4 linked regions of the Rhinolophus ferrumequinum genome follow. The protein of the gene in region 4 interacts with the protein of the main gene of each other region in a pairwise test. Links are inferred from orthologs where the notes say so. Each region holds a gene or a part of one and is shown on either strand. Other genes may lie near its edges.

What was found.
Region 1: the proteins of DMRTB1 (region 4) and NIF3L1 interact in a two-hybrid assay, tested with the Homo sapiens proteins (2 studies listed by BioGRID and IntAct). The two-hybrid records come from large-scale screens. The link is inferred for Rhinolophus ferrumequinum from reciprocal best matches to the Homo sapiens genes DMRTB1 and NIF3L1.
Region 2: the proteins of DMRTB1 (region 4) and PKP2 interact in a two-hybrid assay, tested with the Homo sapiens proteins (2 studies listed by BioGRID). The link is inferred for Rhinolophus ferrumequinum from reciprocal best matches to the Homo sapiens genes DMRTB1 and PKP2.
Region 3: the proteins of DMRTB1 (region 4) and SLAIN1 interact in a two-hybrid assay, tested with the Homo sapiens proteins (2 studies listed by BioGRID). The link is inferred for Rhinolophus ferrumequinum from reciprocal best matches to the Homo sapiens genes DMRTB1 and SLAIN1.

What each region holds. Positions count from the first base shown.
Region 1 is NC_046291.1:30,355,911-30,363,200, forward strand, and holds the start of NIF3L1 (NIF3-like protein 1), read right to left. Parts: upstream 3,005-7,290; 5' UTR 2,939-3,004; intron 2,290-2,938; exon of another isoform or gene 2,143-2,289; intron 916-2,142; exon of another isoform or gene 790-915; intron 694-789; 5' UTR 669-693; coding exon 233-668; intron 1-232. Other genes in the region: PPIL3 (peptidyl-prolyl cis-trans isomerase-like 3), read left to right, coding at 3,868-3,876, 5,123-5,197, 6,279-6,372, 6,739-6,806. UniProt on the Homo sapiens protein: May function as a transcriptional corepressor through its interaction with COPS2, negatively regulating the expression of genes involved in neuronal differentiation.
Region 2 is NC_046293.1:41,680,700-41,688,534, reverse strand, and holds the start of PKP2 (plakophilin-2), read left to right. Parts: upstream 1-4,816; 5' UTR 4,817-4,984; coding exon 4,985-5,207; intron 5,208-7,835. UniProt on the Homo sapiens protein: A component of desmosome cell-cell junctions which are required for positive regulation of cellular adhesion.
Region 3 is NC_046287.1:28,440,496-28,448,159, reverse strand, and holds the start of SLAIN1 (SLAIN motif-containing protein 1), read right to left. Parts: upstream 3,005-7,664; 5' UTR 2,779-3,004; coding exon 2,177-2,778; intron 1-2,176. UniProt on the Homo sapiens protein: Microtubule plus-end tracking protein that might be involved in the regulation of cytoplasmic microtubule dynamics, microtubule organization and microtubule elongation.
Region 4 is NC_046292.1:38,263,534-38,271,054, reverse strand, and holds the start of DMRTB1 (doublesex- and mab-3-related transcription factor B1), read right to left. Parts: upstream 3,017-7,521; coding exon 2,377-3,016; intron 384-2,376; coding exon 178-383; intron 1-177.

The sequences.
Region 1 (7,290 bases), on a different chromosome or scaffold from region 4:
AGCTCAGTCCAGCAACGAAGATTCCCTATGCTTTCCTTACTCATTAATCATAAAAATTTTATTTTTCAAATGCAATTTAATTGCCAGATTTTAGCAACATTATTTTTAAATATATTATGTAAAAATAGAATGGTCCCACCCCTAAAGCAGTTAAAACTCTATTAGAAAGACATTCTAAAATTTCAAAGCATGTATAAGGAAAATATTAAACATAAAAGAAGAGGCTTCTGACCAAGCCCTTTAGCCAACCAGCTGTTGACTCCCTGGGGTGCAGCGTCATAGGCTGTGTGAGGTGAGTAAATAGCGACTCTGTTCTCCAGAGCCCGAATCACCAGGCGCTCCTTCCAGGTTTTCCAGGTTATGCGCTTCATAGGTTGGAAAATAGGTGGATGGTAGGAGAGAATGAGATCAGCCTTCTTTTGCAGAGCTTCCTCCATCACTTCCTCGGTCAAGTCATTGGTCAGAAAGAGTGTGTTTACAGTATGTGGCGGGCTTGGTTCCACCAGTAATCCAACATTGTCCCAACTCTCAGCAAACGACAGGGATGCAAAATCATTCAAGGAGGAAAGGAGAGCCTTCAAATCCATGAAGGAACAGGAAGAATTGCAGATCAGGGAATGAACTAGCCGAACTGTCGTGCGGACCAGGTGTACACGAGATGACAACATACAGAAATCAGGTAAAACTGAGTATCTGAAGTCAGAACAGAAAATGATACACATGTACACTTTAGGCCCAGACTTTTGAGGCAATAAAGCATATGAGCAAAAGAGCTACAGTCATACATACCTAGGTTCAAATACTGGCTCTGCACTTACATGTTGTGGGGACAGAGCCCCAAAAAGCAGTTTCCAGGCTCTCAGCCTCACATAGAAAGGTGCTGGCTCAGGTAGTAAATGGCCATCGACTGTGATCAAATGGCCAGCAGCTGTGGCTAGTTGGCCGTCAGCTGTAACCAGTGAGCCATTGGCCACGAATATAACTGCCGTGGCTAGGCTAGCAGAAAAAGGGGGGAGCTAGCAAGAAGATGGTGGCTGAGCCTGCAAGCGGCGCAGTGAGGGTTGAGAATTGTGTGGCTCCTGGTTCCTGTTTCTCCAACCCAGCCGCCAGCGAGAGTATAGAGATATGACTCCCCTACTTATGGCTCCGTGGGTGTTCCTTTTTGGCCTAGCCATATCCTGCGTTTTTGTGTGGGTAGTGGGACCAGAGACCCCGCCGGATGCTCCGCACGACACTTGGCGTAGGCGGCAGGATCCCCTGCGCTACACATATTATCTTGGGTAAGTCATGTAACCTCTCTGAACTTGTTTCCTCATCTACAAAATGGAAATACTACAACCTTCACAGGCCATCTGGAGGAGCACATGTATTAATATGTGTAAGTCAACTAGCACAAGACTGGTACATAATACACAAATGTTCATCCCCTCCTCTCCGGCCCCCACCACACCCCTGTTCTTGTTCTCCCCACCCTAGCTTCCACCACTCTCCTCCCTTCTCCATTTCTCTAAATATTACCCTATCTTCCAAGTTCCTTTCAACTTCCTAAATAAAGCTTTTTTTGACAAACCTTTCTTTTCAGTGTCTCCCTACTCCCTGCCCCACCCCGCTCTGCCCTGGTATTCTCATAATATTATATTCCTGTTTGTCTCCCCAGTATGCTAATACTACAGGAGCATAGGAACTATCTTTCATACGTCTCAGTATCACCAACATAGGCCAGCACTAGATGCTTACTGTACAGATGTACACAATCCCCCTCCCCCATCACAGCAGAACTTGGGAGTTAGGGTGGTATATATTGGCATTGAAAAGTACTCAAAGGGCAGGAGCTGCTGCCCCTGAACCAACACCTGCTACAGGAAGGCCAGGCTCAAGAGGTGAAGGTGGAGGGCACTTTGCCCAGAGTCTGTAAGCCTTCTAAGACAACCATATCCAATACAAAAGATAACATTGTCAACTCCATTCTTAAATTAATAACCGTAAACACTTTTGTTTTTTAAGAAAAGCATTTCATTGTATGCCCAATAATTAACAAGAAAGCATAGCCAATTGTAAATTTAATATTCACAACCCAATGATTTCAAAAGCAGATTTGGGGCAACATTTCTACAGCAAAAATATTTGAGATGTGAGTAGTACTTCAATATAGGATTTGAAGTGATGGGGCGCCTCCATTAACCACTCAAGCCTGGGGTACTGGAAGATCTTCTCAGGTCCTTATAATACCACTTCCACTCTGCACATTCCACATCCTGATAGTTCTCCATTCTCCAGACTCTTCTAAATCTGGCAAGTGCAAAAGTGAAGCTCTAGTGGGCCAGCCCCCGTTGAGTTATCTACTGTTACTTATGAAAGAGCACTTGGAAATAACAGACACCCACCTCCCCTCTCCCGTCGCCATTTCACAGATTAGGAAACTGCAACTCTGCGTAGCTTGATGCCACAATTAATAATGGGAGGCGGCAGAGCATGGTGGGTAAGAGCACGACTCTGAAATCAGACTGACAGACTCCCAAAGCTACCGCTGTGTAACGTTACTTAACCTCTGTGGTTTCCACCGCTAAAGAATGGAAATAAATGCCCAGCTCATAGGGTTGCCTCAAGATTTAACCGTAAAGCTGGAAACAATACTTGACCCGTGTTTAGTAACATTAGTAAGTCCCACTATACAGCCTGCAAACTACACCTTAAGTTACCTCATCTACCCTTCACTTCCGTCCCACTTCAGGCCTCTCCCAGGACAAGAAAGAGCCCTTGGCACAGCCAGTAACTCGTTGAATCTGGACTCCTGCCCCACTAGTGCCCTACGCTCTCATACTGCAAGCCAGTTTTCTGCCTCTATCACCTCTTGGACCCCTGTCGTTGCACTTTGCACACAACAGCCTCATGCCACAAGAACCTAAGTCCGCCGGGATTTAAGTCGCTGAAAACTCACCAGTCCTGGAACACTCTTCGTGCGTCACTTCCGGTCCCGTGCGGGACTTCCGGCCTGTGGGAATAAGTGAGGCAAGGGAATCAGGAGGAAGTGGTCCTTCCCATTTTTACCTCTGAGTCCAAGGATTGCTGCCCATAATAGTTCCGGGCTACGTGTCTCGTCCTAATATAACTATTAAAAGAGCTCCTTTTCACTGTCAAAAGTGTTTCAGGTAGGGGTAAGTTACATTGTCTCCCTAGTTTTAGACATTTGGGTTTGAGACAGGGAGGAGAGGGGAGGAAGGAGGCAAGCTCATTAGGGGCGTTCTCTCGAATGTGTCCCACGCTCGACTTCCGGTGGCTGAAAGATACTAATTTTCAATTTAGAGACCTGGCGGAGGTATCTGCGATTGCATCTTTCCTGTTTTAGCTACAGTTGTGTTAATCGAAGTGGTTAAGTAAGTATGGGGTAACGCGCTCATTCTTTCATTAACTTATTTAAATGCTTGCAGAGCAGTGTGTTTTAGTTCTTAGGCTGCTTAGAGTGAGCATTCTGGGCGGGAAACGGCAGACTTAATAAATTAATGAAGTATATGGTATATTAGTTATAAGTGCTATGGAGAAAAGAAAATAGGACAGGTACTAGGGTTAAGGCATTTTTAAATAGAGTTATCAAGTCAATGAGACCTGCCTTTTGAGCACAGACTTGGAGGCTGAAGAAAATAGCCGTATAGATGCCTGAGTGTAAGCGTTCCAGGCGAAGGGAGCAGCCAATTTCTAGGCCCCAAGTCGGCTTGTTGAAGGACTTGCAAGGAGGCTCTTGAAGAACAGTGAGTAGGGGAAGTAGGAGGTTGAGGGGCTTGAGTCGGAATTCCTCATCACTTCCATAATCGGATTTTTATTTCTTGGGAGGTGCTCTTCGAGACTTTTAAGTATGCAGTAAACGTGAGCATGAGTGAGGTAAGAGAGACAAATCAACTTAATTCTTTTTTCTTTTGGTAATAGAGATTTGTTTTCGAACTTCTCTCAATAAGACTGTGAGAAATTAAGTAACAGTAAGAAAAATGGTAAGTTTTATAGAATTCTTATGAATATCTTTCATTGTAAGTAATTTTTAGAAATTTAGTCAAGGGAAATAAAACGGCATGGAAATTTCAATAAGAAGACAAAGAAAAGTGGTAAGCTGTAGAATCATACACTGAAAATATTCTAAACAAAACCAGAAGTAAGCAAAATTACTTTTAAATTGTTTTTGTTTTCACTTAAAACACACAATTTATATTTTGTGGAAAAAAGATTGACTACAAGATATAGAGATGAAAAAGGTGAGTAGGAGGAGCAGAAGGATATAGCTAGGTGTGATCATTATAATTGGAAGCTTTTCTCTGTATCTAAGGTGAGCGAGCAGCTAGAGCTATAAGTAGGTGAAAAACAATGAAAATAATGTCCTGCCCCACTCCCACCCCACCCGGTGCTCTCAACAGGCACACACACTCCTCTCTATTTTCAACCTGGGCATACTTTCTGAATGCTAGATACTATTAACAAGAATAGAAATGAAAAAGGAAGCCCCAAAATACATTTCCTTCTTTCTGGAATGGGGTAACAAAAGGAATATTCAAGCTACCAAAATAACAGGTAAAACAAACAAAAAGCAAGCATGCAGAGTACTATGGTTACCTTTGCACATTTACAATCTAGAAACACTGACACTTTTTACGTCTTGTCTTTAGTTGAGAAAGAAATTGTTTTTTAGCTCTGCATCTCATAAGTAAATTACATAAGGGAAATGGTGGAAACTATATTTTGAAATTCATTTTCTTACTATTGTTCAGTAAATGTCCGTGATGTTAGTGAATGCCATTTAAATCAATAATACTAATATTACAATTGTTTTTATTGATGAAAAATTGAAACTTAAAATAATTATTTCCATCACAATATTTGCTCCCCAGTTTTTAGCATAGGTGCTATTTTACCCTAAACTTTATATTTATCTTCTGGAGTTTTTTTCCTACTGCAGAAGTAAATTTTGAAGAAATATAACTTATCTCCCAGAGCTTCTATGTGGACAGGTCATCTCTGAAACAGTATTTCTATCTGTTTTTATTTAGGCTGTCATCTTTAATATCTAGTTAGAGAAATCATACAGTGCATAAAGTCACCTGAAGAAATCTGTTTTTCTCACATTCTCTCTCCTTTTTAGTCGGTGACACTGCATACAGATGTAGGTGATATTAAAATAGAAGTCTTCTGTGAGAGGACACCCAAAACATGTGAAGTGAGTATCATTATGTACCAAAAAAAAAAAAAAAAGAGTTAATGCAGCAGATAACTATTTTGAAATTGAACGATTCAAAAATAACCAACAATAAATAGCCAAAAACCTTTTCTATAAAACCATTGTCAGGTAAAGCCAGCCATCATAATTTCTGGCCTAATTTCAACTTAAACTTTCTTGATGTCAAAAGTGGATCAAAGAAAGTGTAGATAATTTTTCTCTAACCATAGAGTGGCTGGTATCTTTTTCTTTTGGCTCATTTTCCTCAGGAAACATAAATAATCATGAAATATCAGGTAAGAAAACTGTTCCTTACATTATCTCACTTGTTTAAATGACAAGGATAGAACGAAGAAGAGTCAGCTTTATATATTTATTTATTCAACAATTATTTATAAAAGGCTATCTTGACAGTGTCTTGGAATAAAGTGATGAACAAGAAACATTCCTTGCCCTTGTGAAGATACTATTCTAGGTGGGAAAATAGGCCAGAGTAAGGGTGGGGTGGGGTGGGAGGGCTCATTCTCAAAAAAAAAAAGTAATTCTAGAGGGTGATAATGCCTTGAAGGAAATAAAATGTTAAGATAGAGGATAATGGGGAAAGGAATTATTTAAAAGAAGGTGAGGGCAGGCCTACCCAAGAAAGTGATACTTAAACTGAGTGTGAAAGGTAATGAAGGCATCTCCATGGAAAGATATATAAAAAGAACATTCCAGATATAGAGATAGCAGATACAAATGCCTCAAAGTGGGAAAGCCTACCTCTTTTGGATGAATTTTCAGGAGACTGATGGGGTTAACATAGTAAGCAACAGGGATGGGGTTATTATCATATAAGATGTAGAGTTGGACCAGCTCATGCAGAGCTTATTAGGCCCTGCTGAGGATTTTGTATTTTATTTCAAGAACTGAAGGAAGCCATTAAAGTGTTTTAGTCAGGGAAGCAACATTATCCAAAGTAATGCCTAAAAAACATAGTTTAAATATGCTGTTATAGTGTTTTCAGTAAATACAATTAGTTTTATATCTTAAATTTGTTTCTGCTACATGATTTCTCAATCATTGTTTTTACTCTCTTCAGAATTTCTTGGCTCTCTGTGCCAGTAATTACTACAATGGCTGTATATTTCATAGGAATATCAAGGGTTTCATGGTTCAAACAGGAGATCCTACAGGTAAGTTACTCCATTAATAGCTAGGGAATTGGGTCTATAGTGAGAAGAAGAGGGTAGACAAAGAGTAGGAAAATAAAAGCATGTGGAGTTTTTATAACTGGGCTACCTTACAATAGCAAGCAATTTTTAAGCTGAAGCTACTAGCACCTAGCCCTAAAATATGAATAGTACTAATAAGGAGCATTTTTATTTTTTCTACAGATACTTTATTTTTCTGGTTTGTAAAGTGAAATTTTGGGAAGTAAGAGAGGACATACTAAATTTTATTTGTATTCAAAGAGTTACACTGTAAACCAGCCCTTAAGTTTTAGAAAATAAACCCTTTCTCAACTTTAATTAGATACTTCTGTTTGTCTTGTAATATAGGTACCGGAAGAGGAGGTAATAGTATCTGGGGCAAGAAATTTGAGGATGAATACAGTGAATATCTTAAGGTATGTCCCCAGTGCTTCAAAATCTGTTTTCTCATGCCTTGTTTACACTTGGAAATTTCGATACATATGTTCTAGTAACACAAGGTAACATTATTAGTAAGCAAATATTAATACTTTTTTTGTGAAGTTTTTGCACACTTAATAAATGATATCAAGGAGAAAATATAAATGGTAGTTCTAACCTAAAATATATACTGGAATCTTACCATCACATGAATCTTAATATTAAGTGAGCTCATCTTTGGGTCCAGCCCGAAATATTTAATCAGTAATGTACCACAGGAGCTTAATGTGTCATTATAAAATTCATCGAATAAAAAAATATATAAATAAAATTCGTTAAATGATGTGAATCATTGCCCTTTTTAGAGAGTGGGGAGGAAAGACTATCAGAACGTCTGGTTACAATATTGCCATTATCAATCTCCAATTTTAATCATCTTTTGTTAGATGTTTAAATATTCCTCTCTTAATGCCTGCAGAT
Region 2 (7,835 bases), on a different chromosome or scaffold from region 4:
TAAATCAAACCCAGCTCTGGCATCAAGCACACATTTATATCACTCTACCATTGTATGATGATGTTTATGAAGGAAATAAAGGGGTGGATGGGGCTTTTAAAATCCGAGTCAGATTATTATTATTTTTCTATATGGAATGTAATAGTTCCATTTTGAGAATTTCAAGGAAATGATAGCATGTATAAAAAAAGGAGATAAATTTAAAATTTAGATAATTTATTTGTGAAGGAATATACACATGTATCAATCAATATCTTGTATTCAAATAATGTTCAAACAATTTAAAAAGTATATAGTGCAATAAGTTAAATAATTTAAACAATACATGACATTGAGGTGCGAGATCCTCTACAAAGTTATATAAAAAAAATCTACTGAATTTCTCTACTACCTTCATAACATTAAAAATCTCTAAACATTATGCTCCCCTAGACACTCAAGTCACTTCAGAGATTTTGTTTCAGGCCAGGCCACCTCCTTCCAGATCCTTTTGTTCAACTGCACCTGGGCCCACTCAGAGGCAAACAAATTATTCAAAACGCAGATAGGTGAGAGGTTATACTCAATGAATTATTTATTGAGCATCTGCTAGTTATCTCATTGCTAGGTTCTTGGCAGAGACAAAGAAGAGAGGACCATGGTCTCTAATGAAGATAGGAATGCATGGTGGAAATTGACCAAGTTGTCCCCTCCCTTCAGAAGCCTCTCTGGGCATCAGATGAAAGATCTGACAACCATTAATGTAGCAGCTCTGATCATCCATCCAGAAGGTAACGATTTGAACTGATGTACCGAGCTCACACATGCCCATGAACTATGCTTATTGCCTTGAAAGCCTCAGCAACCATGAACAAATTGCTCATTGCCAGCCTTCATGGTCGCTCACCTGGTTTCCACTTCCTACACCATATTTGGGATCTTTTAAAAAGAATAATTTTCAGACCTACAGACTCACAATATATCCAAAATGGCAGACAAAATGAATGTCTGCCTTCAAGGTAAACACATTAACCAGCACTGCTGTTGAAAGTCACCGTTGGAGAGTGGTGTGCAGCGCCTCCGTATTCAGAGCTTCCTTTGCAGTCCTGATCCACTTTCGTTATATGTGGCTAATGATAAAACTGCTAACCCATTGCCTTGGCAACACATCCATTTGCTAAAAAAGGAAATAAAACCTGAGGTTTATTTTAAAGTTTCTATCTGCCAGGTCTCTTACACTAATTTAGGAAATACTTTATTTTTTTTAACAGCAATAGATAATAGCGTACAAATAGTAACAGGAAATATTTGATGAGAGAAGACACTCACGAAAATGGTAGAGTTTATTTTTTAAATATAAATCAAAGAGTTTTGGTGCCATTAATGTTCTTTACTGTTCTCCATTAAAATATTATATCTGCCCTAAAATTTATACTATATTTAATCTTCTAGTACCTTCCTCAATTGTTTGCATGTTGAAATTTCCCATATTGGAATTTATATATGGTCAGAGGAAATAAAATTAGTCTCAGGAAGCCCTAACTATAGATTTGAAAACTATAAAAGATTAGTGCTTTAGAGCTATAGTGTGTAAATCAGATAAAAATGCAAGCATAACAATCAAGAATTTCTGAATCCTTATTGTGAGTTCCCAGCAGAAGGAACTGTAGCCTCATAATTTGGTTATCTGTTATTTACATTCTACTTCTACATTCCTGTGGTTCTACTATTTTTTTCTTTTATCAGATTCTGTTGGTAAATTAAAACAAAAGGAAGAGATTTTCAAAACTGGGCCTAACCATTTAAAAGTAGCAGATTGTAGTACAGCCAAACACCACAAAAGTATTCACAGCATTTTATTTCTTCAATTTGTTGGCTAGAAGCTACCTTTATCAGTTCTCTCAGGGCTTGCTCACCATTTAGGAAGTCGACTAGGCAGCTTTCCCAGGAAACATGGCAGGGCCTGCACTCTGTTGGAATAGAAGCACATCTAGACTATGTTTTGGGGCACAATGCCAAAGTCTGCATACTTCTTCACCCTGTAATTAACTAATGCTATTACAATAGGATTCTCACCTCCAAGGGTACCCTTTTAATGAGTTTATGTTTATCTTCCTTTCAAAGGAATTGTTCTCCTGAATCATTGAATTCTGCAAGTACTCAAAAATTATCTCAGTTTAGTTTGTTTTTGTATTTACAGGGAAAACTACATAGCTGAGTTGTAGAATATCTAGAATATATAATGATATCTACCTGACTTTTTAAAAGATGATAAGTTACCAAAAGTGTGAAGACTTAAATAATTATTATTCACAGTGGTTGAGCACTCATTATATACTGTGCAATATATTAAGTGCTTTTATGCATCATTCATTCATTCAACATATACCTATTTTCTACTATGTGTACTATTTTAGAACCAGGAGAACAGCAATAAATAAAACAGAATCCCTCCTTTTATGGAGCTTATGCTCCAGTAGGGAAACAATCAACAATTAAATAAGTAAAGCATAAAGCATGTGTAATGAAAATAAGTGCTATGGAGAAAAATTAAGCAGAGACAGGAGATAGTGACTGTGTGTGTGTGTGTGTGTGTGTGTGTCCATAAGTATCTATTGAAATACGTTGAGATGAGCAGAGACCTGCGGGAGGTAAGAAAATCCAAAATTGGATCTCAGGGGAAAGTTTGTTAAAGAGCATTGAACAATTATTTTGTTGAGTATTTCTTATAACCACTTACCATTTAATCCTCACAGAAGCACCTCATGGTAGGTACTTTTGTTGCTCCCATTTTACAGGTTGTTGCTCCCATTTTACAAGAGAATTGAGGCTTAAAAATATAAACAAACTTGCTTAAAGCCACACTACTTATAAAGGGCAAGCTAAGATTTAACCCTGATCTGCCTCACTCACAAACTATGCTTTTACCATCTACCTCCTGTCAAATCACCCAACTACCCAATAACAAGATTTCTACATGCTCAATATTGGTACCTACCTAATAGGATAATCAATTAAAACATCACAATTAAAAAGAAAAAAAAATCAATTTCAGAGTAAAAAAGTAAATGAAGTTTGACTCAATCCAATAAACAAATGAGAAAAATGCCTCTCCACTCTCCTAAAGAGGAATTTAGATGAGGCAGAGCAGACCTTGTAAATCATGGCTCTCCAGGCACAAAAAACAAAGGGTGCCCTAGCTGACCCAGTGGGGGCTGGTATGGAAATCATCTTTCAAAGCAGCACTCTCAGGGCTGACAAAGAGGAGAGGGAGAGATGAAGAAGGAGGAAACAGGAACAGAGTTTGTTGTTGGACATCTCTATCAGTACTTCCCCTTCTGTTCACCCCTCTCTTTTCAATTGAATCTGAGCATCAGGGTTGGATGTTTTCACCTGGCTACCTAATCGAGCTCTTCACAAAGTATGATCTACCTCAAGACTGGTCCTGCTGGAATGGGACGAATTGCTTCCAAGACTGACAATCCACTATATTAATCCACTTAATCCAATATATTAAGTACTATATTCCATAAGGACTTGGCCATGTGGCTGGCCAAGAGAGAAAGGATAGCAGAACTATCACCTCTTCCTTGTCCAGGGATGGGGCCCCTTGATTTCCTCTTTGTTCCCTGGAAGCTCATTGACCTGTGCATTAAGTGTGTGCATAAAGAAAGAAGGGTTTGCCTAGGAAAATGGGGTAGCAGAAAGCTGTGTTCTCCACCACTCCAGACCTGAATAAGTGGAGTTTTGCAGTAATTGAGTGATTAAAGGAAAGTGAACATACAAACCAGAGTAATCAAAAGGAAGATTATCTTCCTTAATACCAGGGACAGATGTTTTTCTTTCTGCCTCTCAAGTCGAGGAAAATCAGGACAAGTGGCTTATGTTGTAAATTTTAAGGTCAAGGGTCCTTTCTATTGAGCGTAGCTCTTAAGTTCTCAGTAGTCAATTACAAGTGAAACATAATTGACAGCGCGATAAATATAAGTTGTGGAAGATGCGATTGAAAGTCAGAAGCCCCTTCCCTAGGTCCCCTACAGCTATCATAACCAGGACTTAGTCAAACCCGTTAGCAGGACTATTAAAAAGTATCACCTATTCACAGTGCTCTTCCCTAGCACCTCTTACTGGAGTTTCTCTACGTGGGTGTGTTTGTAAGAGAGGAGTCGGTGAGCATAGAGAGTACTGGGTACAAAGTGTATTTGTAAGAGGAAACAAACTCTCAATGAGGAAGAACATATGTTTCTGAGACTACATCTGTGCAAAATACATAGTCCCTGAAGTTGTACCAAGAAGAAAAAAAAAAAAACTACCGTATTTTAAAAAGTCTTATTTCACATATGTCATCTTCTTGGCATATTTCCCTTTACTGCTTTTTCCGCCTGACCAAATAGTCCCTTCTCACCCTCAGGTCCAGGAGAATCACGAAATGTTTCGAACAGTCTGACAGAGCCTGACTAACCAGATATATTACTCACTCGGGGATCCCAGAGGCAAACCTCAGCCTAGGAAGATTAAGTTGACTCTTCAGGGCGCACCTGCCCAGAGGGCGGCCCCTCCGCAATCAAACGGAAATCACACAATCTCCGAGGGCTGGGCAGAGGCCGAGCAAGGCAACTAAAGTTGGGCGCCGCCCTGGCAGGCAGTATCCTGGGTGACTCCAGAGGGTGCTCGACCCGGGCTGACCGCGCCTTCCCCACTTACCCGGGGGCGGGTCCAACTGGCCAGGTATCTGCGCTGGCGGCGGCCGGCTCCGCCCCCGCTCCCAGGCATAGTGCGCCTGCTTGGCTGCAGCCGCGCCTCCTTCCCCGGGGAGGCTGGACTCCGGGGCTCGGTTGGCCGCGCTCCCCTGGGCTCAAGCCTCTCACCCGCGCGGGGGGCGGGGCCGCAGGCGGGGCCGGGACGGTGGGGCGGGGCGGGGATCGCACCAGTGCCCCCGGCTCCGCCGCAGCTTTTCCTGCAGGTCTCGCGGCTGGCAAGCGGCTCGGTCGCCTTCTCCGGTCCCATGGCAGCCCCCGGTTCCCCCGCTGAGTGCGGCTACATCCGGACGGTCCTGGGCCAGCAGATTCTGGGGCAGCTGGACAGCTCCAGCCTGGCTCTGCCCTCCGAGGCCAAGCTGAAGCTGGCGGGGAGCAGCGGCCGCAGCGGCCAGGCGGCCAAGAGCCTGCGGATCCAAGAGCAGGTGCAACAGACCCTGGCCCGGAAGGGCCGCAGTTTCTTGGCCAACGGTGAGTGGAGCCCCGCCTCCCCCCTGCACCACCTCGATCCTACCCCTTACTCCTTCGCTACCCCTCCCTCACCCGCAGAGCCCCGTGGCTTCGGTTCGCTGCTTCCTGTGGGTGCCGGACCTGGTGTTCAGCCCACCTGTTGCTCGTCGTCCCTTTGTATGAGCCGCCGCGCCTCCGGACTCAGACCCGCTTACTTGGGGAAAGCACTTTTCTAAAATAACCTCTTACTCAGCTCTGTCATATATGTATCCGTGTATGTTAAATGTACGTATATATCTAAGTGAAAGAATTCAGTCCAAGATTTTCACCCCTTCCTAAACTTGCTCTCTTCGGCCCCCTTGTCGCGTCCCCCACTGGCCCCTCTTACAGGGGTCTTAATCTGGAGACTCCGGGAATGTGTCAACACTTTGAAATTTTATGCAGAAATTCGGTATGAACATTTTTCTAGATGAAAACTCCCCTACCTTTTATTAGATTTTTTTAAGAGTCTGTGACCCCAATAAATATTTTGGAAAAAAAAAAACAACCTGAAAGTACTGGCCCTCCTACGAACTGTATATTGGGATTGCGATGCCTCGCCCAGGTACTTCGCGGCGTTCCACACCGTGTACCGAGCGAGCGGTTGATCTAGGAAGTGAAAAAATTGGGTAGGAGGCTTTGGGCCTGGGAACAGTCACACCACCCCGCCGAGGAAGAGGGAAAGGAGGAAGGGTATTTTGGCCCCGCCGGCTGCAATATCCCCTCCGCGAAGCTGCGCCCGCGGTCGCACTCGTGGGCACAGCGCTGGTCTCTCCAAAAAATTAAACTTGGAGTGAAAGAGGTTTTAAGAAAAAGGGGGTCTAAAAACACACTATATCAGTAATGGATAGCCAGGGGAGGTGGAAGGGGAAGATGGAAAATCAGTGCTGAAAATTAGAAAACATGATATGTCATTTTCTCCCCTGCTGAGTCAGATGATCAGAGCCACACCGTGCCTTTTATTAATTTATTTTTTCATTACAAAAGTATGATAGGCTTTTTATAGAAAAGAGAAGAGGAAAGAAATTGAACAATTAATTTAGTTGGGATATCAGTTTGTTGAACTGTTTGTCTAGGAAGTTGAACTGTAGGAAGTAATTGGACAACAGCATATGGAGAACCCATGAGGAAAAAGAAAAAAAGACCAGATTAGAGTTTGAAAACAGCAGACCTGGGAGGGAGGCTTTATTGTTTTCAACTTGTGTAAAAGAATCCTAAAGGATCAGGCAGTCAATGTTTATATACTTGAAAAGTAAAGAGATGTTTAATGATTATAGTTAATTAATGTAATTGAGTGCCTACTGTGTGCCAAGAATTGTGGTTTGCGTTCATTGTTATTTATGTTTCCAAAAACACTTGTGAGGTAAGTCTTTTTATCCCCATTTTACAGATGAGGAAGCAGTTATGTAACATTCAAGTTCCCACATATAGTAAGGAGCAGAATTGATATTTAAAGTCCCAAGCCTGAATTTTTAAACCACCCATCAGTTATTGTATATTGTTAAGCTTCTTCGTTATTAGTACAAAGTAGGATTTTTATTGGACCCTACGCCTCTTTATGGCCCCATCCTGTTTTCCTCTAAATAAAATTGAGGTGGTTCTGAGCGAGTGGGAGGTCTAGATAACACAGAACTACCACAATGCATGGAAAAAAAGGAATCCATATTTACTGTTTAGGAGTCTGATGACTCCAGAACAAGTGTGGCTACTTTTTCACCAGTGGAGTCATTCCACCTCTTTACTCTGTGCAGGCCGGTGCTAAACTGAAACCAAACTAGATTCTGCTGGGGGATGCAAGGAATGCACATTAGATATTCTTTCTTAACCCCTGAGAATGGCTAGCTAGAAACAGCAACCAGCCATTCATTCAACAGCAACTTGAATGAACCAGTTCTTTCAACAGCAACTTGAATGAACAGAAGGAAAGGGAGTATTGCTGAGCATCTATTATGCACCTAACACTGTTCAAGAATATGTTTGCATTTCGTTATGTCCTTAAAACAATTACATGAGATAGATACAAAGATCCATTTCACACATGAAGAATGTGTTGGTCTCTCAACATTTATTGGACACTTAGTCCCAAACCTTCACGGGATTTATCCTCTCTATAATATGGTGAATTCATGTTGCTTGGTGAGTTCAAGGACTATCAAATGAGTCGGTGTGTGCAGGGCACTGCAGGTGCTGAATTAAACATAGACTGCTTGCTTTAAAGCAAGAAGTTTAATGTCTGAAGAAGGAAGCCTCCCTCTAAAAGACCCATTATCAAACACAAACTGACAAGCGACCCAAAAGAACAGCTAACACATTGTGGCGTTTAAGTGGATGAGTTAGACCACTAGCTGAAGAGAATTTTGAAAAGCTTCTTGGAGAAATTGGGATTTTAGATCCCCCAAATCTAATAGGATGGGACATAGGGAAGTGGTTGGAGGAAGACCGTTCTAGGAGGGAATAACAGGAATATTTCATGGTTCACAGAATTGATATGGCAGAGTACAGGGCATTGTCATGGTGCTTCTGCTCAAATGTTTAGGGCAACTGGTTGAGTGGCTCTTCCAACTAAAGAACAAAGTGCTTGAAATATTTTGATTACAACAGTAGCTTCCC
Region 3 (7,664 bases), on a different chromosome or scaffold from region 4:
AGTTTTCTGTAAATCAGGTGACCTTTAAAAAATTTTTAAGTCCATTCCACTAAGATTAATGATCCCTCCCTGTTTTTCCACCTGGGATTCTAATCCTAGGTTTGTTTTGAAGAAGACACAGTACTATAAATACTGTCCATCTGTCTGAAGGAACACTTGTAAAGTGTCAAGGCAATGATTTATTTATTCACCTATATAGTTGAGTAAAATTAGTAAAACCTGCCACCATTTAGATTTGCTTCAAACCATCTTAAGTGCTAACAAGCTAATCCTACTAACTAGGTGATTTTTTTTTTTAAGTTAGTTGTTTCAATACTATTTTGATTAAAAAAACAAGAACAAAACTACGAAAGCCAAGTCTAGATATCAAGTACAAGCAATCATTGGATAACTATGGTAGAAACCCATTCAAAAGAAATATTAAGATTATATTAGCTATATATACTATCACCAATCTAATACACTTAATAACAGTATAAATTTTTAAGCGCTAATATTTTAAAGCATAGAATTGATCTCCATCAAAAATACAAACAAGTTTCCTTCCACTATTTTAGCACATATCTTCAGAAAAGGCCAAATGGGGACTAAATCAATCTAAACTAACATGAGAGCATAAGGGTTTATAGTTACTAGTGATAACCAACCTAAGAGCCACCATGAGAGCATTTTCCAGTACCATTTTCAGGCTGACACTGAGATTACAATACAGCCTCAGCTTCACAAAAATAAAGGTGTAGCTTTTAAAGAATGGCTTAAAGTCCCATTTAATGGAACTTGAATGGCTTAAAGAAAGAGGTGAATTGTTTTGTTTTTTACAACTTGAGCTACTGGCACAGCTGCCCAAAAGTAAAGTACTAAGGAGGAGCATGAATGCCTTATATATGAATATTCTCCATACATTTTGATTCTCAGAATCAAACCAATTAGTGAACATACTGTACAGAGTTCTTACATAAAAGAGTGTAAAGTAAAAGGAACACAACAGATCCCAACAGGAAACCAGTAGTGTTCTCCATTTCCCATTCCCTCTTGTGCAATCATGCAAGAGGAACACAAAGTAAGGAAAACTCAACTTGGAAAAATAGGAAGGGTCCTAAATAAAGGGACCCAAGATAAAAGGAGTACAACTCAATTCTTCAGGCCACTGCTATGCAGAGGTGAGTGCTGTTCATTTTCCCCATATGAACCTAAGTTCCACCCTATCTGAAGCTTCCACACATCTGACCATATCCCAGTACCTCTAGAGACTGAAGAAAGCATATTATTTCTCTATGAGCAAATAGCATGAAAAATGGAAAATAAAGGAATTAAGAACCCCTTCCTCCAAAGTTACTCATTGATGGAAAGTAGAAAGAGCTTAACTGATTTAAACTGAATAAATGCTGCCAGCCTCAAGTTTTCTGATAACTTAAAGTTTCTGAAAATTAAAGTTTCTTTAATCTCACTTTTCTTCAATCACCAGTTTAATTAATTAAGCAAAGCTCCTTAGTTCCCAAGCAAGAGTGTCTTCAAGTTGCCCACTACGTTCCCTGAAAGGCTCTCATTTTTGATACCATTACTAAGAAGCCAGTGAGGTCAGCACATTTAAGTAAACCAAGTCAGTCTCTGAAATGAGAAGCTATTAATGAAAATGGAGGGAATGAGGACGTACGACCGCACAACTCAAACTACAAGAACGAGTCTCTAAGAGGAGATCAATCACTAGTCAGCGTGGGATGCCACAGGGGGAGGGACAATACGCAGATCCTGCCCAGCGTTCGTTTGGGAGTAACAGTCGCAGACTGAGGCCAACCCCTACCCATTCCGCGTCACTACCAAAAATGCTGGGGGCGGGGGGGACGGGGAAGCAAGACTGAGTAACAAAAAGACAAGATAACATGGATTTTTCAGTTAATACTATGAGGCGCTTGGGACCCAACCATCAGCGGAAAGCTGCATACAAGGAGATGGAGGGGACCAGTTCATCCCCAGTCGGGTCAGCCTGAGCTTTTAGAAGCAGGTTTCCGCCCTCGTGTAAAGCCTCCTCCACTCGTCGCCCGACTCGGCACCTGCTAGGCCACAGCGTCCGGGGCACAGGGGAGAGGGAGCCCCCCCCTTCCTGCCCAGGTCCTCCCCGTCGTCCTCGGGGCCTCCAAGCCCAGGTCCTGGGGCAGGGAGCGGAGCTCGGCCATACCAGGTGTAGTCGTCCTCGTCCCGCCAGGCAGCCACGCTCTCCAGGTCCAGCGGCTCCACCTCATCCAGCAGCGTGGGGGGCGGCGAAGGTGGCGCGGCGGCTCCCCCGGGCGGCGTTCCCACGACCCCCGGCTCCGGCCCGCCACCCGCGCCGAAGAAGCCCGTCGCAGGCTTGAAGTAGACGAAGGGCGCCTCGGGGGGCTGCGCCAGGCTGCAGAGCAGGGAGGGCGCCGGGCTGGGCAGGCAGTAGGTCCCCGGGAACGCGGGACTGGTGCTGCCACTGCCTCCGCCCCCGGCGCCCAGCGCCAGTCCGAGACCCAGGCCCCCGGAAGAGGCAGCGGTGGCTGGGGGGCTCCGCGGACCCAACGGGCTGCAGGCCCCGGCGGGGGGCGGCGCGGCGGGCGGCGGCGGCGGCGGCAGCAGCAGCAGGTGCGGGGCGGCGGCCGCGCTGGCCGCCCGGCTCCGCAGCTGCTCGTTTTGCTTCTCCAGCTTGCGCACCAGCTCCTGTAGCTTCTTCACCTCTAGCTCCGCATTCACCACCGGCCCGGAGCCCGCTCCGGAGCCGCCCCCCGCCGAGGCGCATTTCACCTGCTCCGCCATCATCCTGGGCCCGGAGGGCGCCGCAGCCGCCGGGGGTTGCGCACCTTCGTGCAGGCTCCTCTGGCCGCGGGGAGGCTACGGCTCCTTCCCTGCCGCCCGGCCCGGGGGGCCGACCACGCTGGGGCTGAGGCCGAGTGGGCTGCTCGCATCAGCACCGGGCTCCAGCCTCCCGCCCAGGCAGCAGCCGCCGAGCTGCTCTGCACATGCTCAGAGCGTCTCTCCGGTCCCCTGGGCGCCTCGGCGGCTCCGGGTTTTAGTCGCGGCCTCGGGGCGGGGCGGGGCGCGGGAGCCGGGGGGGCGGGGCCTGAATGGAGGACCAGCGGGATGGAGGCGCTCCCAAGGGGCGGGGCCCCCACCGCCGCCGCCACCTAAGCCCAGGTGCCTACTATTGGACCTTGCCTGAGCTGTCCCGCCACGGGCACTTCCTCCCGCAGCTGCGGAGAGTACGGACTGAGCGCTTCTACCAAGATGCCCCAGCTGCAGGTGCTAGCCCAAGAGGAGCGCACCTCGCCCCCTCTGGCTGACTACCTTCCAAGAACACTGTTATGCTTAACCACGTTATCTGCTAGCCACTAGCTAGTGAAACCCATAGGAAACCAAAAGGCTAGGGGACATTATCGTAAGAACCTAAAAGTAAATAGGTGGAACAGAAAAGCTTTGAAACGATGCTATCTAATCCGCTAATTGGTGATACAGAAACCAAATGGTGGGAGAGGGGAGGCCGAGGAAAAAGAAGAAACCTCCCCTCACTAAGAGGGGGAGAGTAGCCAGCTGCTGAAGAGCCACTGAAGTGTTCAACTTCAGTTTATTTGAAAATAGTCTAATTTGAACTATTCTATTTACCACCAATGTTTGCCCCAATAAAATGATCGTGTTTTACATACTAGATAGTCATTAAACAAAAGACTGAGAACCATACTCTTCCCAACACCATTCTAAGACCTAGCCATGCAGGCAGTGAACAAAACAGGCAAAAATATGGAAGACACATGAGTAAAATTGTGTAGAGCTCCATCTATTAAATAATATACAAGCTATTAAGGTCAGAACTCTACCCCAATACGCCTAATCTCACCTTCAAATCTACTTCTTATATCCTATGGAAAGCATTAACAAATCTGCTTCAAGGGGGAGGGGGAGAGCGAAAGGGCTTTTAAGAAGAAGAATTGAATCAAGTTTCATTCAATTAATATTGACTTAGCATTTTGAGTGTTTAACACAATCAGAGGAAAGTGAGATTTTATTATGAGAAAAGTCCATACAACTAGTTTTCATTTTCAGATGGTAAACTATCTAGTGAAAGTCCCCGCTCAGGGACTTTAGATACCACCAATCTTCGTGACAATGTACCCCAAGGCTCTGGAACTGCTCGCACATTGAACCGGTTGATTTTAGATATGGCTCTGTGCCTTCCTATTCAGAAACACTTGTGTCTTCTCAGTTGTAAACCTATATCTCTAGTTTCTGTGTGAAGGGTGGCTGTTCCGTATTTAACTTGCTTAGTGAGAGCTTGCATAAACCCTGAACCTTCCTCTCAGGTGTCCCAGCTTGCTAGACCACCACCTAACCACCTGTATCACCCATCACCTTTCCAAGTTTCAGTCCTTCTTCTGGATATTCTGGTTATTACTAAAACCTGGAAAAGTGGAATAATACTACCGAAAGCCCTAAGTAAAGAATCTATTGAAGGATTTTTTCCGCATGCTCAGTGGCAGATGCGGGTAGCAGAATCCCTGCAACACAAAGAAAGGGAGACGACAGACAGACACAATGAGAACAAAGAGCTGCTGGGTTCCACATTAGCAAAAGAAATTGGGGATAGGCAGACTAGAGAGGCAACAAGAATTAAGATGTAAAGAAAAGCAATCACGTTACTGCAAAATTTAAACACTAGAGGAGAGAAATAAACAGCCTGCTCTTCCCCCATTTAGCCAATATGGGCTGTAGAATACATCCACGCAACTAGTAGTCAAGCTTCAGAACTGTGTTCTCTAAGTAACACTTGTCATAAGAATCTGTTGCGTAAAAACAAAGTATTCATTGAAATTTAGACATGAAAGAGAGATAAAACATTCTGGCCTAAACTTCTATTCTGCATTCTTCTGCAAAGACAAATTTGCCCTCTTCCAAACTGTTTTAAAAGTGTGAAATGACTCATGTCTAAAAAATTTTAAATCATGTATTTCCTTTCAATTGAAGCACTCCCTCCCCCTTCTGTGAATTATAGGTATACACACACCATAGACACTGAAAACACACACTGATTTTAAGTTGCTATCCTCCGGATGCCAGTCTCTTTAACACATAATTAAAGAGGTTGATGGTGTCAAAGTTTTAATTAAGCAGTCTTGATTTTTTTTATTTTGATGTAAATTTGTAAGCTTTGTGTTTTGAAAGAAATTGTATGTATAGTTGCTCCATTTTAAAGTACTTTTTATTTTAAATGAAATATATAAGGTGATTTCAGAGGTTTACAAAGACAAGAAAAATGAAAGTGCATGTCTCATCAAAAACTTTATGCTTTACAAATACATTTAAAACACCAGAAGCTCATGAGAAATATCCATATACTACACATTCAAAACAGATAAATAAAAGTGTATTTCGCCAGTGCACCTCAGAAATGTGGCCATTCTAGTGACTTTTTTAAAATTAAAGTTTATTGGGGTGACTTTTAAGAGAGAAAGTAAACTTATTTCATTTGTATTTTTCACATATACCTCTAATAGTATCTATAGACATCAAATTCATCCAGCCACAGAATTGCAAAAGCAGCATAGTTTCTTCTTCAATTTTTAAATCTAATTTTCCAAGGAAATCTAGGAACAAGGTTAGTTTACTTGCCCAAGTTCAGTCATGAAAATAACAGTAGTTCTCAGCACAGTTCCTAGTGGTCCAACCACTCCTTTCCTTATATACCTTTGTTTTAGAGTAAAATTCCTCTAAGAGTAAGGCCCGTATGTTTGAAATGTAGATTTTCAATCAGCGCAGTGGACATACCCTAATATGAGCCCTACATTCATTCAAATTGATAGATCCAATTACTGCAAAAAAAAAAAAAAATCATCTAGGTGTTAAGCTAAGATCCAAGATCCCTGACTATGTTTTCAAGTTGATTCATCTGGACTACACTGTTTGCTTTTTTGTTTGTTTGTTTTTGCCTCTGAATAGAGAGTTCTGTTTATCCACTCAGAATAGACTTGAATACTGTGGGTCTCCACTGCCCTGTGCACAGTGTCTAGCACAGCAAAGAAACATGAAATAGGTTTTTAAAGAATAAATGAATAAATAAGTAAATCCCCAAACTCTAGCTGAAATTTAGAGAAGAATCCAATTGTTTATTTTCATAAACTCCATTTATCATATGGTAACAACCCAGTAGGATTATAAGACTTTTTGCAAACCCCATAGTAATTGATTATTTCACATCTCACCCAATTAAAAGCTAGAAAAATATGTGCTGCATCTAATGTGTGCATTTTCACGTAAGGAGATAATGCAGAGAGAAAACAAAAATGCATCAAACCGGAATTTATGTACATATAGGTATACCTCATGTTTTGTGCTTCACTTTGTTGCACTTACAGATGTTGCATCTTTTACAAATTGAAGGCTAGAACACCACCACCACCACCACCACCACCAACACCACCACCTCCACCACCAGCACCACCACCTCCACCACCAGCAGCAAGAAGGTTAGGACTTGCTTTATTGTTATGGTTCTAAAATGAACCCCAAATATCTCCAGGGTATGCCTATAATCCTTGTTTGGGTTGCTCCCTTTTGACCCCACCCAACTCTATTACTCAAATCCCTGCCATCAACCCATGTAATTATGCCCTGTAAAGTCACATATAGTAGTAGTTATAATAGGAATAATAATAACAATAATAATAATCTGTTTATTTGGCAAGCTACAGTTTTCAGAGCCCCTTTTTAATAAATAGTTATTACATGTCTACTATGCTCAAATCATAATGCTAGATGATTTTTTAAAAGTGAGTAAGACAGTGTCTCCGACACCGAGATCTTATCTAGTTGGAGAAAGAAGCACATAAACAACTATAGTACAAGACTTAGTGCGATAAGTATCATGATAAAAATACAAATCAACAGCATAGGGAGTGAGTGTCCAAGAAGGAGCAATTAATTTTGGCTAAAAATGTTGGGAAGACTTCATGTAGAAAGCATGCATTATTTCATTCAGTTCTCCTTATCAAGCTGTGAGACACTACAGCAAGTCTGATATATGCATTTATCAGACAAGATGTAGGATGTATCAAAGCAACAATAGAACTAGGATACAGCACCCAGCTCTAATTTCTAGTCAATATTGTTTCCTCTGGGGTCAATTTGTTATTTTTATGGATAACTCATATATCTACCACTCCCATTAAAATGAAACTTTTTACAATTTATCTTAGTAGTAGCGATTAGTACTTAGAAAAGGCTAGCAATTGTTCTAAGCCCTTTACTTGTATTAACTCATTTAATCATCAAACAACACTTTGAGATAGTTTCTATTATTATTTTTGTTTTATAAATCAGGAAATTGAGGAACAGCGAGGTCAAATAATCTGCCCCAAATTACCCAGCCAGTAAGTGGCAGAGCCAGGATTTGAAGTTAGGCAGCCTGCCTTCAGAATCCAAGTTCACAAACTGCAATATCTCTGGTCTTCAGCAGCACCTAGCACAACACCCTGCTCTGGGCTTAATGGCTTACCAATAAAAACTATTGATTGTGCAAAACCAATAGTCAGGAATGCTTTAAACAAAGTCTGATTCATTACCCAGCAAAGATTACTGAAACTTTCCAAGCTCAGATTAGAAAACAGTAAGTTACCAAGATCAACAAAGTTGCCAGTGCTGGTACAACACTTCTGACA
Region 4 (7,521 bases):
CGTACGTGATTGAACTTGTCTACACATGTGTACTCCCAGAGGCGCACACTGTACAAGGTCAATGGGCCTGGTACACACTGCGCCCATCAACTGGTTTCCTGGGACTGAGGATATGTAAAAGCAGCAAGAGCAAATGGAATAAGGAGAAACCCAGAAAGAAGTCAGGATGGCACTCACCAAGCCTCCTCCATGGTAGTGGCTGCAGGACACATGCCGAAAGCCCCACTGCAGGGGGATCCCCGGGGTCGGGGATGCATCCTGGTAGCCCAGCGGGAACGGGTGGTAAGTGTGCATGCTGGAGCAACCGGGGTACAACTTGGAAGGCTCTCTCTCCAGGTACTCAGACCCCACTGCACAATCCGAGTTGATGCTCAGAGAGAACCCTGAAAAGGTAAGCAATGAGGAAGTGTTAAAAACACAAAGAGCTAGGAAAAAGAGCATCACATTACTGTCCAGCGACAGCAGTATAGTAAACACAGATCCATTTACAAAGAACTCCCAAATCCATTATGCTTTTGACCCTCCCTGCTTTTTAAACCTTTCTACCATATCATACTGCTCTTAGAAAAAGTCCTTGGCACAGCCATGAAGCCCCATGCAGGCTGGTTCCTGCCTCCACTCCAGACTCCTCCAGTACTTAACATAGCAGTTTCTTCTTTCTCACCCACCTCAAGGCCTTTGCAATTGCTGTTCCCTCGGCTTGGAAGGCTTTCTCCCCTAAATCCACTTTGCCTCTTTAAGTCCTCATTACTAGGCTCCTACTCTTCTTCTTTTATACCACAGCTAAACCATTAATTATTAGAGCTCTATACACTGATTTGTGTAATTCTTTGATCAGTAATGTCCCTCCCACAAGGACAAGATCCTTGAGAGCAAGGAATCTGACTTTTCCCCCCCTCACCACTTCATCACTGGCACATACCGTGTTTCCCCCAAAATAAGACCTAACCAGACAATCAGTTCTAATGTGTCTTTTGGAGCAAAAATTAATATAAGACCAGCTCATATTATATTATTATATTATATTAATATTATATTTATTATATTATATTATATACCTGGTCTTATATTTTAGTAAAATAAGACCAGGTCTTATATTAATTTTTGCTCCATAAGATGCATTAGAGCTGACTGTCCGGCTAGGTCTTATTTTCTGGGAAACACCGTATTATAACTAAGTGCTCAGTCTGTTTGCTGAGAGATGGAACAAAGAAAGGCACTATGTCCATGGAAACATCCTCCTAGGATTGCTGTTTCAGGTCTGCCTTCCCCATCTAGTTCCCTAGGGACCTAGATTTTCCAAGAATGTCCCATAAGGCAGAAATGGCCTCCAGAGAGCATCCAGGCCAATCCCCTTAGCATAAGAGAGAAGAGACTGCCACAGAAGGAAGGAGCTTGCTTAAGGTGACAGGGTGAGTAGTCCCCAGCTACTGACTCAGACTTGTGGTCTTTTTACCACATGCCATAGGGGAAAATCAACATACGTCTGCACTCAAAAAGAGCTGTTGTTTAAAAGCCTCAAATCTACACATGACTTGGGAGTTGTATTTTAACGAACATGGTGGCAAAGGAGAAAAAAAGAGTCAACATCTCAATGAACCAACTTTCTCTTCCTGCGTGGAGCAGAGACGCTGTCCCGTTCCCACCCACTCGTAGGAAAAGGGCGGGATAGGGTACCAAAAGGGGTGCGCAGGCGCAATGAGCCAGGGCACGGGTAAGGGCGGGGCCTCCAGAAGGTAGAAAGGTGGGTGCGCAGGCGCAGTCATAGTTGAGAGCGCTCATCCGGAAGTAAGTCCTAGGAGAGGAGCCTCCAGCCCAAGAAAAGAGCGGGAAAGGACGCGCAAGCGGGTTGGGACAATGGAAAGGAGGTCCTCTGGGAGAAGCCTCTAGCCTGTGGAAAGGGAAGAAAGAGTACACAGGATCAGTAATCGTTGTAGGGTGTGTGGGGGACAACGTTCCGGGGGAGGAGCCTCCAGTCAAAGAAAAGGGCGGGAAGAGGTACGCAAGCGCAGTGGAGCCAATATCCCCCATGAAAAGGAGCCACAGCTAAGGCGACTGGGGGCCATTTTCTATTGCAAGATGGAAAGGCAAAAATTGTAGCTAAATGTTAAAAGCTGTCTGGACCACCCACTCCCTTCTATCGCTCTTTTTACCTTTTTGCAAAAAAGGCGCTCAACCCAATTTTGTATTATTCAGTAAAGGTTTCTCAAAGCAAGGTTACCTATGGAAAGCATTTTCCCCACCCCCACCCCTAGGGCCCATCCCAGGCAGCGGGATCCAGGCTGGCCTAGGACGCCAGCGCGGCCTGCACGGAGGCTGCAGCCCGGAAAGGAACTGACCCTGGGGACAAGGCCGCACGGGGCCTAGGAATCTTACCGAAGTCGGCGAACGGCGGACTGGGCACGGGACGCATGGGCCTGCGCAACTCCAGGCGGCCGGGGCCTCCCCTGCCTGCGGCCTCCACCCCGAGCTGGGGCCCCACAAGACTGGGCACAGCCACAGCAGCTCGTTCGCTGGGCCCCATGTGGCCGCGGCCGCCCAGAACTGGCTGGAAGGCGCTTGGGCCGGGGCTCGGGCCCCGCGGTGGTCTCTCCAGCACGTAGGTGGCCGCGCGGCCCTCGGGGCCCGCTGGCTCCGCGTCTCCAGAAGCTGCAAGCTGAGGCAGCGGGTGGAAGCTGGAGGCCGAGGCAACAGCCGTGGCCCCGGAGGCTAACTCATGCTCTTCCTCAGAGGCCTGCTTCTTGAGCATCTTCTGCGCGGCCATGATCTTCTGGCGTTCAGTGATCAGGTAGCACTTCTCGCAGGTGCACTGCTTCCAGCGACACTTGCCAGCATGGCCCTTGACTGGCACCAGGAAACCATGGTTCCGGCACCGCGAGCACTTCGGGGTCCGCAGCATCTTGTCGGCCAGCTTGGCAAGGTCTGCCTTCTTAGCACCTACCGCCTCCTCTGGGAGCTGCAGAGCAAGTGGAGCAGGGAAGAGCAGCGCCCCAGAAGTCTCTGGTGCTGAGGACATTTGGATACAATTGTAACAAAACAGCTCTCAGTACGTCCCGGGAGCTGCAGCAAGACCTTTGCATTTTCCCTCCCTTTTGGAGGGTGCAAAATTTGGAGTTTCTGTGCATTGGTTCATTAGACGCAAGGGTTTGGGTTGAATAAATTCTTCATGGAACGTTATTGCATATATGTCATCTGGATTATCTGAAGTCTTAGGCATTTAGTTTTCCAAAGTTTCTATTCCCGCCACCCCACAGACAAGGTATTTTTTAACTTCAAAAAAGGCAGAACGATATTCAGTGGTCCACAGATTTAAAGCTACAGTGGAACGAACCTCTCAGCAAACCCATTACAGTAGAAAAGCATTCTAAGAGGCAAACCGTGTTTCTCCTTCCAAAAGCTGGGGCTTCTGCTAAATTTTATTTCTCTCCCCTGCAAAGGAAAAAGTGTGCAGGCGCAGCCATCATCATCAAAATGCGGTTCACAGCGATGCTTCCAGAATATTCTCAAGAGCTCAATGCCCTGTTATAGGTGCTCAAGGATGTGTCCTTATGGTAATTCCCATTTCTTAAGAAACTTGTTGGTACAGGAATGCATTTCTAGAAGATGGTGTGTTGCTGTTGTTGATGCCTTCCAAAGTAAAGCATACTTAGAATGCTTTCAAGTAAAGTAGACTTGGGATATTTTAACGTGAGCTTGAATCATTGCTTAACTTTGCCATGAATTTTGTTATCACTGTAAAGCAACCCAAATCTTGGGACAACTGAAAAGCTGGCACAAACTTCATAGTTTCCCAGGGCTACTAAATCACTTAATTTTCTTGTTTGATAGAAATTTGTGACACCCTGAGGTTTGTTTTTGATATTTTGGGGGTTTTTTAGGCTCCAGAAAAGAAAAAATGGGTCACTCACACCTAAGTTGAAAGCTTATAATCATAGCATGAGTCATAGTTGAGGAGGTACTTATGGTTAATACCTGGCTAAAACAAGTGCATTTTAAATTGCCTTTTCTCTGAAATTCTCTTTCTGGCAGCAGAATGGTAGAAGCTATAGCCCTGTGTCCACCTTAATTTTCCTGAGCCTCTGGTTGCAGCTGAACTATGCATTTCTCACCAGCTACCTGAGAATAGGAAATGGCTGCCATTCTGAGGCCTGTTAGATACTGGGAAGCTGAAAAAGAGGTTTGTAAAGTCTTTTTTCTGCTTTAAAGAAATATATTTCCCATTAAGAGGGCAAGAGTATGTCCTTCCTGTATTATTTGGCTCGTCATGAATGTCACCCATTTGGAGAGATCTAAGTTTGTCTCTGCTTTGCTCTAACACCCTCTATCTTAATTTTTTATTTAAAACATGGTCCCATAGATAAAAAGACAGTCAAGCTCTTTTTCTGACTCTACCCAATTCAAAATATCTAATTTTTTCACAGACTTTTTCATTTGAAAATGGTACATAAAAATCACAGTTACAGTACTACTGTCAAAAAATCTGGGGTATAAGCTGCATTGTTTCATGATGATGCAAATTGTAAGGTCAGTTTCTATGGTACCAAATTTAAATTTTAACATCAGATGATAAGGCCTAAAAAAGAAAACTACTCTATTTATATTTCATGCTTGACTACCCAAGCTCTCTTCATTTTTCTATTAATGATATAAAGTAAAATTCTACTCAAAGCCAACTATTTGAATTAACATATTTTAGCCTTGTTAACTACAAAATGCTTCCGTATTTACTTCATAGCTTTGGGGGCAAAATACAACCAAGGTGATGAGAATTTGCATGGTGCTTTGAGAACATTAATAAACAACCACATATCTTTTTAATCAGTAGTCACATTATAAGATGTAGAAACCCCAGGGTTTATACAGTAAATAAATCTAAGGGGGGAAAACACTAGTTTATTTCTCTCTTCCCCCCAAAGTCGCAATTTATGTAGGTAAATTCCAACAGAGCTTTATTTATTTCACTCTTGGAAATTCAGGCAAATTGATAGTTTTGTTTTATTTAGATTGAGGACTGATTTCTTCTTAAGCTGCTGCCTTTATACACACACACACACACACACACACATACATATATATGTATATATATACATATATATTCAAAGAAATGTATTTTAAAAGATGGTAATAACATCAAAGTGAAAAACTAGAGGTCAAAAAAGGATGGGAGCAATAAGCACACAATGAACCCCTTCCCCACACCTAAACCTTAGAAAATTTATGTTTAAGAAAGTCTGCATCATTATAAGCAATGGTTTATAAAATAACAAGTTAGAATTGTTGAGGAATCACCAGTTTGACTAATTAACCACAAAGGAGCTGATTGGTAGTCATATCTGACTCCCAACTTCAGTCAATAATGGCCCCTTTTCCCTTGGATTCCAAGTTTCCTACCTCGAATAATGCCTTCTCTTTGGTTAATATGGTTGCTATTGATACTGTTTAATTCATATTCATTTTAAAGAGCCTGTATTATGCAGTGCATTGGGGTATCATTTATAATCATTAAATATTGCATGCACTGCAATGCTTCCTTACTGGTAGCACACAAGAATAAAGAAGGCTCTTTTTTTTGTTTATAGTATCTTTCCCCCGACAGCTATAACCCAGATAGCTGCTATCTTCCCCTTCTTCAGGCTCACTCTAGTGAGCAATGAAAACTTTATTGAAGATTTTGTAGGGATGGAGGCAGGATTTACATGACACATCCTGTAGCAGATGCTTGAAAATTCTGCCTTAGCATTTCTGTTCTCTCAAGATCCTCTTCTGTTGTGCCACACCCACTCAAGAGAAACTGGCCTCTCCTCCCCCTTTGCCCCCATCAGTACCCAACCTCTCTAGCTTCTGCCTCCTTTTTTGATTTGGCGAGAGCGCTGTAATAGCTGCATCTATCTTATTGTCCTTTATGTCTAGCACACAATAGATATTCAGTAAATATTTATTGAATGTATAAGTGAATCTTACCTCCCTCCCCTGCCAATGTCAAAGTTATCGCCTCCTTAATTAGCAGTAAATCAACTTGGCTTCAGCAACTTTCCCCAAACATCATACAAAACAGAAAGCCCAGGGTGAACAGGTCCACTCTCTTGACAAGCAGAATTTGGGGATCAGCTTTGATTCCCTTCAGCTCACCCCCTACCCCTAATAGTTTAATAATAGTAATAATAGTTGCTAGCACTAAATCTGTATATGTGCCAGTAATTCTTAAGTCTTTTATGTGTGTTCATATAATCCTCACAACAACACTCTAAGGTAGGTACCATTATTTTCACCTCCATTTTATGTGGAGGAACAGGCCTAGAGAAGATAAGTAATTTTCCCAAAGATTTCCAGCCATTAAGTGGCAGAGCCATGATTCAAAACCAGGAAATCTATTCTCAAGATCCACGTTCTTAAGCATATTAACTGCTAACTACATATTTCTTCTAAACAAACACAGTGCTCTCCTCAAGGAAACTTTGATAATGAATAGAAATGTTTGTCATATTACATACCTTACTACAGGTGGGACAAAAGGGGGTGAAAGTGGTAGCAACCTGGGGAAACGTCCTGGGATGCCCTGCTTAGTTGCATTCCTCCACCCAAAGCTGATATTTATTGAGTACCAACTATATGCTAAGCACAAGGGACACAGAAGTAAATAAAACGACAGAATCTTTACCTTTAGGCATACCTTTTGGCAAACCACACAGTTAAAAAATAATTCCAGGTGAAAGCTGGGGATTGAGCGGGGGATACCCAGGATGCTATGGGAACCCCTATGAAGGGCCTAACCTGGATCAAGAAACCAAGGAAGACTTCCTTAAGGGGCTGACTTCTAAGCTGAGGCCTTAAAGATTGGGTAGGAATTAGCCAGCTACAGGAGCAGGAGGGGTGTGTTGCAGACGGAGCAGCATGTGTGAAGGCCTGCAGGGTAGCGATAGTATGTGAGGTCAGAAGACTGGAGAGAGATGAGGTGTAGAAGTGAAGCAGTAGCCAGGTCTTGTAGGGACTCCTTGGGGGAAATTATGGGAGTCGCTATCTAAGACTAAGGAGAGAAAATGACATGGTAAGAACCAGATAGAACCCACCATGGCCAGACGTCTAGTCCCTGCCCTTGGTTTTCTTTCAGAAAGCGGAGCAATAAGTAACTAGGACTCGCATAGGTATTGCAAGACTAAAATGGAGTTGAGTGGGGTTTTCTTTGGGGTGGTTGTTCCAGGTGGGGCATGTACTCAAGGCGAGGCATGGCCCTGAACTAGCACTGTGCTAGGCAGGGTGGTTCTTCCTAACCCTGGAGCCCTGTTGACTGATCCTATGAATCTCCTAGGAGTCTTAAAGAGGTAAGGCGCAGAGCAGAAGTGATGTAAGACAAAGGAGTGAGAGAAAATCAAACAGCAATTGAAGAGGGTGTAGAGGTAAAGAATGGAACAAACAATTCTGTGCAGCAGATGAAAAGAGCAACATCCAGGCAGAGAGGTCATGCTCAAAAGGGGCATTGTTAGCTGAGTTGGACCCAATAGCACTGACACTGGTTTTGTTTGC